Schizosaccharomyces pombe: one gene and its partners. Changing the gene in region 2 together with the main gene of any one other region gives a genetic interaction. Each region holds a gene or a part of one and is shown on either strand. Other genes may lie near its edges.

Region 1 (4,214 bases), 1.4 Mb from region 2:
GAACTCTTCAGGTTGATGAGCCGAGGTATGGGTTCGAAGACAAGTTTTATTGTTCATATAGTAAGTATCGGATTTGCTTCTACTTACATGTGTCTTGGGAAATCCTAAAGAATCAAAATTCGTCTCTACAGAAACAATAGGTGATTCTTTTTGAACATTATTCATTTCGAATTTTTGAAATTGCTGTTCGAGAAGTTGTCGTAGACTGCATATGGGATGACCTTCTTTTTGAAAAAGGTTTCGACCAATTTTTGAGTGAATATGCTCTGGGACATTGGACCAAGAATCTGTTTGGACTTTTCTTTTCCAATTGGGAAACCTTCTCGAAAATAGTTTCGATAAATGAGAGACTCGATGAGGGAACATTGATTTCTTAAATAACACACTTCACTTTTTGTAATCAAACAATGATAATTTAAATTAGAACAACGAAGCTAACTATTTTTAAAATTAATATATAATAATAATTTAATAGAATTCAATCAATCGGTCTTAATTGCGTCCCATTTGAAAGTAAAAAAATGATAGTACCCAAATATAGGGGTTGTGCCGTTCTTGGATACAATGAACAAAGGAGTAAAATTCGAATCGTTTAATTTTCAAGCAGTGGTTTATAGATTTGGTCAGTTTACAAATATTTCATTCATTGTTTTTGCATAAAAAAAATATATGCTTTAATTTCAAAAGCCATTATCACTCAAATGGATTTCATTACGACGAATTGCAAATTTTATTTCCATAAGACTCCTGACATAACTTTATTTAGAAAGATAGAGCATCATACTGTACATAAAGTTGCCAACTTCAAAAGAAGTGCAGAAAAATTATCAAGGACTTTCTTGTAATCGGTCATATTAGATCAAGTATTTAATAGCTTCACTGTCCTATAAGCCGTACAATCGTAATGTAGGCTACAAAAAACTCAACATTTCAAATAACATTTCAAATCATCCCGATTTTAAAGAAAGCAGCATTCTGCGTATGAAAATTCATTCAAACCCCTAACAAGTTTGTCATCTACTAACATTTTACTCCAAGAAAGGCTGGGGTTTAAAAATTAAATAAAACGGTTTGAAGCGTAACAGCAAAACTCGAACTTTGTACTTAAAGTACGATACAAAACTTGACTTTAGAAAAGGAAATAGATTAGACAACACTAAAATCCTCCAACACGAAATTAGAAGGTCCTGAACGTAATGATACTAAGCTCATGAAATCATGAAAAGGGAGAAACTATTAAGGTGTTCACTAAGGAGGGGAGGATAATTAAATGACTTGATTAGTAATGAAAGAAGGAGTTTGCTTATCCCCGATAATAAAAAATTGAGAAAACTACCAACATACTGGACAGACGTTGTTCTTGAGTAAAATGACAAATATCATGAAATTAAACCAGTCTAAAGTACAAGGTATTTTTCCATGCGTGACTGAAAAAAACTAGGATGATGGTTTCAAAAGATTTTGAATATGATCCTTTTCTTGAGCAGACATCCAATCGGATCCTTGTTTAGAAGATAAAATTTGAGCATACTTAAGGAACTTCTCGGGACAATTCTTAAAATAGTTACATCCAGCAAAATGGATACACAAGTCCCCGTCGTCATAGCCCCAAATATTATCATCAAAATCATATGCGTTTATAGCCTTAAGTGGGACAACACCTACATGTTTATACACCTGGGGATGGTAAAATACCATGTGAGAAAACGCTTGTTGCTCAGCATATCCCTGAATATGATCCAAATATAAGGGTTCAAACCACAAATCAACAATCCAGCGGCCAACTTCGCTATTACGAATAAAAAGACTGCCAGCGTTAATACCATTAAAATCTTGAGAGATGATGAAATGAACATCCTTAGCATCCTGATCCTTTGGAGTTCTAAATCCATCGGCGGGGATACCTGCACCACTCTTATATTCAGCCTCCCTAGTTAAAATGGTATTCAATCGGTCGTGCTTAAGCACATGGTCGACGACGTTAAGATCTTTGTTCATGACCAACGCGTCATGATCAAGCCACCAAATCCATTCAGCGTCAGGATATTTCTTCATCGTATCTTGAAGCATAGGGACCTTAACCCAGGGCATTAAATGACCTGTAACACGAGAAGCATAGGCATCGGCATCTAAGAATTCGAATTTGTAACCATGGCGTTCAGCATATTCACGACGATTTTTGATAATGGACTGAGCGAAAGGATGGAGAGGAGAGTTAGCATCATTTTGAAAGTTAGAGCCCATCAAAATGACGATTTTAGAGTTATCCGGATGAGGATCAGTGGTAGCTAAAGCATGAACTACAGAAGTGACAGTTGGAGTAGCAGTGAAAGTTTCGGTTAAAGTGGCAGTAACACTAACAACTTCACTAATGGTAACACGTAAAGTATCAGTTTGGGTACTGGTTACGGAGGAAACGACTGGGGTCCAAGTACTCGTGTGTTGGTCGATGATCTCCTTCATCTTCGTTTGAAGCTTGGTATCCATAGCTGAAGTCCACCAAGCTCCACCCAGGATTATGGTTGTAATTACAACAGCACTAATTAAATAAGGAGCGAACCGCATTGTCAAATAATCAAGAGTAAACTAATAATATAGAAGAGACAAAATAAAATAAAATGATAAAGGAACGGAGAATTTCCTTAGAAATGCAAAATTAAGCAGTGAACGAAAGATAAAATTAGAGAAAGGATGGTGATGAGTGATATATGAGAGCTTTTAAAAAGTAGAAACAGGAAGGGTAAAAGAACCGACAGTAGGAATATTAGACGAAAATCAAAGAAGATTCTGTGCAATAAAAGAGATTGTATCCAAGAGAATGTAGAAAACCTAGATACGTGTGGTGAATTAAAAAGAAAAAAAACCCCCCCAAGTGAAAATATTCTCTCAACTAAGAAATCTGTTACAATAAGTAATGGTAAGAAAATCCCTGTAGAGAACCTATATGAAAAGGTTCAATTTGTAAATAAATAGTAACCTAACGAACGAAGGCAAAATATAGCAAAGTTTAGAAAGAAAAAGAAGCGAAAGAAGGAAGTAAACACCAGTTTGAAGTATATAACTAGTCCAAACCAATGAAATGAATACTTTAATACTACTTGGCAATGTAGGTGTTAAAAATCACTTGAATCTAATTAAATCCACGATAAAGATTACAATTCAGTACTTGTCAACGCAAAACTAAAAAGAAAGCAAAAATCAAAAACTCAAGAAAAAGTATTGAAATTTAAAAATGCCTCTGGAAACCAAAAAAAAGTGAGATTACCAAAAGCGAAATGAACAAAGCCCGTATAAACGAATAAATTAGCTCAGTAAAAAATCCTTTAAAACCAGTTTTTCGTCAAGGTCTTACAATTAGAATGTTAACAAACACAAAACCAATTGCCTTAAGCAAAAAAAAATTGGTGGTAAGTTAAGGCCAGGTTTAAATCGGGGGGGAATGCTAATATGTTTCTGGAGTGATGGATTAATTGTCTCCTTGTTACCTGCCAAACGTGTTACCTGTTATTGAAAATAAAAAAAGGGAGCTTGCTAAACAATTGTATTTATAGAAGTCAGTGACTTGTGCATCGATGCAATCCCGAATTTCCAAAGAAAATTAGTTTCTACATTCTTTGGTAAAATTCTGCAGTAAATTCTTGACGCTTTGGTGCGGTGATGTTAGTGTAAACAAAGAAAAAGTCAAATGGCTGGTAAAGCCAATATTACAAAACAACATGGCAAGTGCTAGAAATAAAAGTAGTTTAAAGAGATATAATAGTATCATTCAGGTTTTAAAAGACATCGAAATAATTTTTTTTTAGTACTGCCGCTTAATGGGAAAAAATTCTATTCCAAACATGAAAGACAATAAAACTTCTAAAAAAGATGAAAAGAGCAATAAATAAAAATAAAACAATAATAAATCTAAGTAAAGCATAATTCGTATTTATTTAAATATTTTTGTTTCGATTGAAAATTACTGATCCAACTAATTTAACCCTAGAGAGCAAACTAGTAATGACTGAGCAAGATTCATTGCTTTGTTTCTATTACCATACTGTATATTATCGGCTTCTTTATATTATTAATTACCTTATAGCAAGTTCCTCCAATTATTTAGTCCCATCCCATACCATACCGATTGTTTAGGAATTTCCAATCGATCGTTTCGCTAACTTAACTGCATGTAACTTCATTCAAATTCAAAGCCAACAAACCTTTTTCGATGTTTA
Region 2 (3,606 bases):
ACAAAAGGATCTTCTCCTCTATATTCTAATGTTAGAGGGGAATGTGTGGATATGGGAAAGCAAATAATTAAATTTGTTTTTGGTTTATATCTATCGATTGTTTCATAAAGTACGATTTTTTTACCTCAATCGTGTTGTAAGCGTGTAAATCTGTATAATTAAGAAATATGGGGTTCGAACGGTGTATTTTATGCAATTCAAGCAATGGTAATTGACATAGAAATGTATGACAAGTTATTTTTTTTGCATCAATCATGAATACTGAAATTACGTCTCTAAAGCCCAGTCGGGTATTTACGATTGATGACTGTAATGTATGGGCAGTAAGTGAAACAATCTGTTTAATTTGGATGATCCAATACCATTTTTTTATGCTGCGGTTCTTTGCAACAGTCCTGCGTAGATCAACTCATATTTTTACTATTTCGACAATTGTTTTACACTTCTCAAAATTGGGTATTATTTAGAAAATACTCTTTACGATGAAATGTATATGAAGAAAAATAACTTTGAAAATGTATTACTAAAATGAATAAAACAACTAGCAACATATAGAACATAAGTTAATATGATTCAGTTAACAACGTTAAGAATACATTAAACAGTAGATGAGAAAAAGAATTTAAGTAATTTGTCTCTTGAGAATCTAGTAGAATCACCGAGATTAAACTATTGAAGTTAAAAGCGACTTCTTAGGAATAAACCTGAGAAAACAAAGATGAATTTTAAAAACGAAACAACGCCATGTAATAAATAAGTTTTCTAGACCGCAAATTAAAGAGTAATTAAATCATTTGGTATTGTTTCCATGCTTTGAAACGATGAAAAATCTCTGAAAACAGCAGATAACTGAACCCGCAGAAAGAGCTTCAAATATTTATCGCTCTTCTGAGTACAATCATTGAGTAATGGAAAGCAGAATCGACAAGTTTCAGTAAAAGCAACAAGTTTAGTAAAATTCGGCAAGAGCATTAAGGATTTGACCTGCAGTTTTAAAGCAAACTTTCACAGCTTTCTAGGATTTGATGAGCAATTGATGGCTCATCAATTACTTCTTTCTACGACTTGGACTACGAGGTTGAGAGGAATCACGACTAACATTGCCCATTACAACGTCGTCTTCAAGGCCAAACACTTTAGGATTAAAACCTGGAATAATGCCTGGCTCTACAGAGAACACATGATGTAAAAATTCAATGTCAATAGGAACTTCTTCTCGAATAGGGTTTGTAAGCCATTGTTTTATAGTATTATCACGAAGAATTTCATTATAACCTGGCAAGTCTTGGATGTAAGCCTTGTACGAACGACGCATCTTTCTCTTGTTACCAAATTCATCGACACGTCCAACCTTTTTAGCAAGTTCCGTAAGACCATAAAGCTCTATTAAATTCTGATGGGCAGAAGGCCTCGTCGGTTGGTAGTCTACACTACCTACATAGTGGTATTCAGGAGCTTGCGCCATGCAAATAAATTGACCAATGTAACAATAAGAATATATTATTGCATTCAAATTTTTTAAATATATATGCAATGAATGCTTTACTCTCTAAGTTGCTTAGCTGGATAGTTTGGAGTAGTGGTTGGTGGTTTAAAGAAGCTATAGCATACTTGGCTAGTATAATTATTGAGTTACTTCCAAGGGTAATCGATTTAACATAAATTGTAATTAATAAATTGCATCAAAACATATATTGAAAAATTAAAATTAGTCGGTAGGTAAAATTAAAACTTTATTATGTGTCCATTCATCCAAAGTAGACTGAAGTTTTTCTTCTTGGTACAGAGCACGGACCGAATCAGATCCACCGATGCTATGACCACCAACGAAGATGTTGGGCATTGTAGATATATCGCTAATGGAAGAAAGCCAGTCTCTTAACTCTTGAGTATGCTCGTAGTCGGTGACTTCTACAACCACTGCTGGAGGATCCAATCTAAGGGTTTCTGTTAGAAGTTTTTTAGCTGCAGCACTATAAGGACATCCAGGACGACTAAAAATGATAACAGGGTTTTCAAGAAATACTTCAAAATCTGTTGAATCCTTAGCAGGTAATTTAGGAGCAGATGGCACTGAGACATCTGAAAGACCTAAAGGTCCTGCCTTTGCATTTTTCTCAGGTTCATTCAGTGGACTGAATATGAAGATATGAATAAGCAATAACGATATTATAAGAGATGTAATAAGAAAAATCTTTCTATTAGCCATAATGGGATGTAAGCTTTCCTTTCTCTTGGTAATTTGTATGAGCTGACGAAAAGCAGCTGATTAATCAAATTATTGTGATTAAAGCAAAATAAAATAATATAAAATGAATAAACTATTACAATTAAATTCCCTCACAGTTGGTTTAGATAGTTACCCAAAACCTGTGGTATGCAAACGGTAGGCTGGTCGCGGATAGGTGAATTTAGGATATTGCGATTGAGGATTGAAAAACTTCTTTAAAGGCCCAAAAATTACTAATTAAGCTACAAAGATGCCACCGTTAATATGAATCAAGCTCAGTCTATTTTAATGCTTCTACAACAAGGGCACGGAAGGAAAGGAACCTTACTTGCTCGCATTAAGGATGCCAAGCACTTTAGTCTTTCAGATTATTCTCAAAAGATGTAAATTTTTTTAAATAATCGTCAAAAAACGTAAAGGTAATGTACAACATTCTAATGCTATTTCATCCTCATGATTTAGCAACTCTCAAAAGCTAATGAACTACTTGTACACGTGTATCGTAGAATTGAAATGCGTTTTAACAAATCCGTTAAGTCTATAAAACATGGTTCGAAATTTGGTATAAAAACTACCTCAAATGAAGCGACCAATTATCCTAATAAAAAGAGGGGAGATAATGCTCTAAAAAATATGAAACGTGATAAAAAAATAAACCTAAGCCAATTTGATTTTAGGAAGAGCCAACATGACAGAGTCAAGAGCCATACCATAACCAGCTTGGTATCCTGTGCCAGAAGCACCGTAATCATGAACAAGGGGGACTGAGGTGCCGGGAACAACATCAAGCTCTACGCGGGCACCACCCTTTCGAGAAGGACGGAATCCGACACATTCTTGAATAATTTCAGCACCCTCCGGACCCTTGCCGTGGAACAATTCTGGCATCAAAGCCGATGTTCTCTTAAGGATATCCAAAGTGTCTTCAGGGTGAATTTCACGATCCCAGTTTCCTGGTTGCATGAAACCGCCGCAAATGACTCCACCATTTAAGGGACGAGGAATAATATAGGTATCAGAGTTCTTGCCATTCAAAATGCGAGTTTCTGTTACATGAGGAGCCTTAACCAAAACAACATGTCCACGAGTCGGATAAACGTCCGGGTCTTCAACGCCACCCAATTTGGAAGCCCAGAGACCAGTGCAATTAAATACTACTGAAGCTTCTGGAGTTTCTTCGACAGTCTCTTTGATGTGACTCAATTCTTTCTTTTCAAATTCGACGCCAGCTTCAATGAGCAGCTTGTACATATAATTCAAGTAATGAGGAGCGTTGATTAAAAAGGTGGTGGCCTTATGTCCGTAGATACATTCTCCTGGAAGATCTTTTTCAGGGATAACTTTGAAATCTCTGACATAGGTATTCCAGGATCTGA
Region 3 (5,775 bases), on a different chromosome or scaffold from region 2:
TTTGGTTCTTATTTGGTTAACTCAACTTCAAGAAAGTTGGTGGTATCGTGTTGGAAGTGCTTGCACCATTGCTTGAGTTTTAATTGTAGTTGAAGTCGCGCGCCCTTTGTATGGGCCATAAAATATAGCCTTTGATTTACTGAAAGGTTATCTCGAAAACGATCAAAATACATCTAATTACCCTATACAAATGAGCACTTAATTCTTGGCATCTGAGAATATCTGGGGTTGATTGTCATGAATATTTCTTTGACCAATTTAAAAACACCCATGCCAATACAGCAAGAATTCTCTTTTTGTTTCACACTTTATTTAATAGTTGATGTTTGCAACTTTTAATATTTATTTTTCTTGATGGTTTTTTGTTTATTACTTTTTCACTGTGAAGATATTTTAATAGTATAATCCAAAATAATTTTGGTTTTCGTTATCTGCTGATGAAGTAGATTTTGGCATTATAGAGAAATTAATTTTCTGCTCTTACTAGTTCACATTTCATATTCACTAGTTTAAGAATACAAGTTTCAATTGACGAAGTGGTCTCTGTCTTTTTCTTACTTAGGCATTGGTTAAAGTAAATTTATAACCCCTTTTGTAATATTGCTAACATATGTGGAAAGGCACCTTTACTCCTCTATACTTGATCTTCAATTGATTTGCTTGGTGGGTTAGGTGAATACTACATATGAAGCATGGAGGCACAATAAATTATCGTTTGATTTTTCATGCGCGTTAACTAATTAATATGGAAATTACAAAATAATAAATCTGATGGTCTTCTCAAGGTGGAGCATTTGTAGAGCACTACTTAGTGTTGGTTCCTCACTGTCCATTCACCACAACAGGTAGAAATTTTTTGGCGAGCTTAAGATTATCGAATATGGAGGATTATGGTTCATATAGTACACCATTGACAGCAAGATATGCTTCTGCTGAAATGTCTCATCTCTTTTCAAGAGAAATGCGTATTAATACTTGGAGACAATTGTGGTTGAATCTCGCCATTGCTGAAAAGCAACTCGGTTTAACTCAAATTACTGATGAAGCTATTGAGCAACTTAAAGCGCATGTCAAAATTACAGCTCCAGAATTTGAAATCGCTGCTAAGGAAGAGAAGCGTCAGAGACACGATGTTATGGCTCACATCTATACATATGGTCTTGCTGCTCCTGCTGCTTCTGGTATTATTCATTTGGGTGCTACTAGCTGTTTTGTAACCGATAATGCTGACTTGATTTTCTTACGCAGCGCCATGGATCTTTTGATCCCTAAGTTAGTCAACGTTATCAATCGTCTTAGCCAGTGGTCTTTGCGATACAAAGACATTCCTACTCTTGGGTTTACACATTATCAACCAGCTCAATTAACTACCGTTGGTAAGCGTGCCACTCTTTGGATTCAAGAGCTTTTATGGGATTTGAGAAATTTTGTAAGAGCTAGAAATGACATTGGTTTCCGTGGTGTCAAGGGTACCACCGGCACTCAGGCTTCCTTCTTAGCCCTTTTTGAGGGCGATCATGCCAAGGTTGAGGAATTGGATAAATTGGTTGCCAAGCTTTCCGGTTTTGATAACGTTTATCCTGTAACCGGCCAAACCTATGATCGTAAGATCGATATTGACGTTTTGCAACCATTAGCTTCTTTCGGTGCTACTGCTCATAAGATTGCAACTGATATCCGTCTCCTTGCTAATTTGAAAGAAGTAGAAGAGCCATTTGAGGCTGGTCAAATTGGCAGTTCTGCTATGGCTTACAAGCGTAATCCAATGCGTTGTGAACGTATTTGTTCTCAAGCTCGTTATATTATGAACTTGATTCCTAATGCTCTTAATACTGCTTCTGTTCAATGGTTTGAGCGTACTTTGGATGATAGCTCTAACCGTCGTTCTCTGTTACCTGAAGCCTTCTTGTTTACAGATAGCGTTCTTAAGATTCTATTGAACGTTATTTCTGGTATGGTCATTTATCCTAAGGTTATTCAAAAACACATTCGTGCTGAATTGCCCTTCATGGCCACTGAAAACATTATCATGGCTATGACTAAGCACGGTGCTAGTCGTCATGAGTGTCACGAGCAGATTCGTGTCTTGTCTCATCAAGCTGGCCGAGTAGTCAAGGAAGAGGGAGGGGATAACGACTTAATTGAGCGTATTAAGAATACTCCTTATTTTGCTCCTATTTATGATGAGCTAGATTCTTTGTTGGATGCATCCACTTTTGTTGGACGTGCTCCCGAGCAGACTGAATCCTTTGTAAATAAGGACGTCTCTCAAGCGCTTGCGCCTTTCAAGAGCATGATCACTGAGGAAAAGGTTGATCTTGCCGTTTAAATATAAATTTTGGTTTGCTTCGTAGTGGATACGAACTTTTTTGATTTGTTTAAAATAGAAAGAATACATTTTTTTCATCGTTAGTATGAATTTTTGTTTGTAAAACAAATATTAAAAGCAGAGGAAATAGCAAAATAACTCTACTAGATAAACCGGTTTATTAGCTAAGATCTCGTTTTATCACGTCTTCCATTAATTCAAGCGATTTTTTTAATTTCTCGTCATTTTTTGAGAACATAGACCTAGACTTTTGCTCATCTTCAGCGCCTGACAATGGCTTTTTTATTGACGACTTTAATTGTTGAATCACATCTCCTTCCTTCTCCATATTAAAATCTAATGATTTGTACTTTTCCAAAGTTTCGGTCATTTGCCGGTTATGAGTACGTAATAGCTCAACCTGCGACTCTTCATGTTTTAATTGTTTTTCTAAAAGCATAATTAAAGATTCACGAGATTGGTGTGGACGATAGTCATTAATTAAATGATGGAGATTGAGCAGCAACACCCTAATGTTTTCAACCTTAGAAGGAAACTGTTCGGGTGCCTTCGCCATAATCCCTAGGAGTTCAAGAAAGTTAAGCATAAGTGAGCGGGATAAAAATCGTAGTTCATAAGCTCGCCGGGGAATTTTTATCAAATCACTCGTTTCTCCATCCTTTGATTTTTGATCTGCCCGGAAACCTTCGTTTACCGAAGAAGCTGAAACAGCTCCAGTATCTTGAGAATCTAAAGGTTCCTTCATTTGTATATCCTCCTCTTCCTTTTTAAGAGAGGGCTCAGTCTTTTCCTCGACATCTTTCATTGTCTTATCAGATTCATTATCTTTTTCTTTCATGGCCGTATGTTGATCATCCTCCAGAATTTTTTCATTTTCAATTGGTGAATTTTTATCATAATCGTGTACACGAGTAAAACTAGTACCAACTATCGCATTGGATTTAGGATCATATTCTACCACTTCAATTTCATCTTCTCCATCTTTTATATCTTTATATAATTCAGGGATTCCAAATTCTTTGAGTGAAGGTATAGCTTCGTCTAGCTATAAGCGATATAAGTTAGTGAGAGATGAAAAGCAGCTAATGTAAAACAATAAAAATAAACTTACCCTCCATGTGTCACCAAACATTTGATAAGTCCCAGATGTGAGACATGACGGCTTCTTAAACAGCTTGGCCAGCGACTCTATTTCTTCTTCAGTCTTAGGTTGTAAAGTATTCGCGTCATCCTCATGTTTTGCTTCTTTCTCCATATTTGAAATTACTTTTTCTATGTTTTCTCTTGTAAATAACTTATAATATGGAGGTGGAGGCGGAAAAGCCGAAAACAGTTGTACTCCTTCGTTTGGTTCCATTCTCTTTTAGTTAAATAGTATTTATCGTAAACTAGATTTTAGATTGATGTAACTGTCTTCCCTTTTATCGCTGATTCTTAGTATAAAAATGCCTGCTCTTTTTTTTTCTTTTTTTTTTTAGAAAAGCAGTTTCTATAATGTTAAGAAAACCGTAATTGAACAACGATATGACGCTCAATAACTGATTGACATGAAAATCCTGAATATAAAAACACTTGAAAATAACCGATCTTTTGCTCAAAATGGATTTTGGAATAGTCAGTAAAAGTGGGTAGTTTTATCTGGCATATGGAATACGAAGTGAAAGCTTCTATCACCAATAAATTTTGCTATAAATTGTTTATTTCGATATCTTTAATCATTCTTGGTTTTAAATTAGTTTCACTGATTAAAGTAGCTTAAAATTATACACTTCTTGGCTTTTTTAATTTTTAGAGAATTGCAGTGTTTCTTTTAACAACACTGAATTATTCTTTTTAATAAATGGGCTTGGAAACGAATTAAGTAGGAGTTTATTACTTGTAATATTACAGCTTATCGCTATTGTTGAATGCCATAAAATCCTTAACATGAATATTTTACTAGGCCAACATAATCGTAAAATTTAAATTGATTAAGTGATAAAGTATTTTGATATTCCTCTATACGAAGGATTAGTTAGTATTGAATGGATTACAAAATCAACACATGCAATACTACGAACTTTTACATTTTCATAAATTTGTCACATAACCGTAGTAAACATATTTGTTATAACTGTTTCTTTTTAGTAATTAACTAATTTATCCATTGCTAGTGATTGTCTGCAAATTTTCGCTGCTACGGTTTGATACAGTCATCAGATACATCAAAGAAATTCAACGATAATTGATATTTGTTCAATTTTGTAAAGAAAATTAAATAAATAGCACCATATCATGATAATACCAGTTACGATAAATTGGATAAGATGCCTGGCAATATAACAATAACAAACCAATTGTTCAAACGATGACTTTTTGTAATTTCCTGCAACTAAACTAACAGTTTCGTAGCAATTAAAACAAAAACATCATTCAAATAATATACATTCACAATGCTCTATATTACTTCAGATGTCCTCGCTCCAGTTTTCCAAAGAGAAGGATAATCTGAAAAATAGTAGATGACTAGACTTTTATTTTTCGGCAGACTCAGAAATGGCTGGAGGAGCAGATTCGCCAAAGTTGTGCAGTCTCGTACCAACTAAGTATAAATCATCACGTATTCCTTGCGACCATTTACTACTAGTTTCTACAAAACGGCGCCCCAAGAGTGCTAGCCCAAGTAATGCTAAAAATATAGGATGCATCAACCGATACATAAGGGTTTTAGATGCAGAAGGGAAAATGGATGAAAGAAAAGGATAGGTTACGTAAGTAAAAACACTTGGCAACACAACGGCGGCTATTAAGGCTGATGTAAAAGGGATGAGAACATTTTTTAATAATGGAAGAATTTGAGGATTCGTCCATCTATCACGAAAAGCATCTTGAAACAACCTTGAAACGAAACGCTCTTCATTAGAAGTCACAGTAAAATATATCATACGAAGCATAAAAAGACCAATCACCCAGTTTTGGAATGCATCGAGAGCAAGAGTCCCTCTGTTAAATATCGTTCGGAAAGGTATAGCGACGTATAATTCCCATATAGCTCCAAGTAAGAGTGGTAAGATAAATATTCCAAGGAATGCTAATAAAAGATATTTTAACGCCATTACTAAGCTCCTCATAACAATTTTTAAATTTAGTTTATTCATAAGGCTTCGTAAATAGTCAAGTTTCAGAAACTTAACAGACGCGTGAATTGCATACATTGGAAAAGAAATAGAGTAAAATCCAATGGCGTAAGCATAAAAATCGTGCTTTACCACATTAGGAAAGCACCAAGCATAAATAGCTCTTCCTAATGAAAGTGGAACAAACACTAACAATACTGTCACAAGTGTTGAGCATATCCAACAAAATAACAACAAAGCGATCAAACGCTTATAAAAATTAGAAGGTGCATAAGTAATGGTATAGTCCGCATTTTCTTCGACCTTCTTTTTTTCACCAAAAATTTCATA

Evidence for each region. A genetic interaction does not mean that the proteins touch.
Region 1: of rox3 (region 2) and gma12, changing one suppresses a phenotype caused by changing the other (phenotypic suppression), as found in Schizosaccharomyces pombe (2 studies listed by BioGRID, with this or other methods).
Region 3: mutations in rox3 (region 2) and med7 together harm fitness more than expected from each alone (negative genetic interaction), as found in Schizosaccharomyces pombe (2 studies listed by BioGRID).

What each region holds. Positions count from the first base shown.
Region 1 is NC_003421.2:315,288-319,501, forward strand, and holds gma12 (Golgi alpha-1,2-galactosyltransferase Gma12), read right to left. Parts: upstream 2,566-4,214; coding exon 1,438-2,565; 3' UTR 540-1,437; downstream 1-539. Other genes in the region: msf1 (phenylalanyl-tRNA synthetase), read right to left, coding at 1-366. UniProt on the Schizosaccharomyces pombe protein: Involved in the O- and N-linked oligosaccharide modification of proteins transported through the Golgi stack. This occurs in cis Golgi where the enzyme transfers galactose from UDP-galactose to a variety of mannose based acceptors.
Region 2 is NC_003421.2:1,733,719-1,737,324, forward strand, and holds rox3 (mediator complex subunit Med19), read right to left. Parts: upstream 1,595-3,606; 5' UTR 1,466-1,594; coding exon 1,049-1,465; 3' UTR 542-1,048; downstream 1-541. Other genes in the region: CIA machinery monothiol glutaredoxin Grx3, read right to left, coding at 1,709-2,209; dao1 (D-amino acid oxidase), read right to left, coding at 2,888-3,606. UniProt on the Schizosaccharomyces pombe protein: Component of the Mediator complex, a coactivator involved in the regulated transcription of nearly all RNA polymerase II-dependent genes.
Region 3 is NC_003423.3:4,170,553-4,176,327, reverse strand, and holds med7 (mediator complex subunit Med7), read right to left. Parts: upstream 3,969-5,775; 5' UTR 3,687-3,968; coding exon 3,441-3,686; exon of another isoform or gene 3,375-3,440; coding exon 2,490-3,374; 3' UTR 2,330-2,489; coding exon of another isoform or gene 881-2,329; 3' UTR 540-880; downstream 1-539. Other genes in the region: SPOM_SPBC14F5.10C (ubiquitin-protein ligase E3), read left to right, coding at 1-76; adenylosuccinate lyase Ade8, read left to right, coding at 881-2,329; ubiquitin ligase Doa10, read right to left, coding at 4,843-5,775.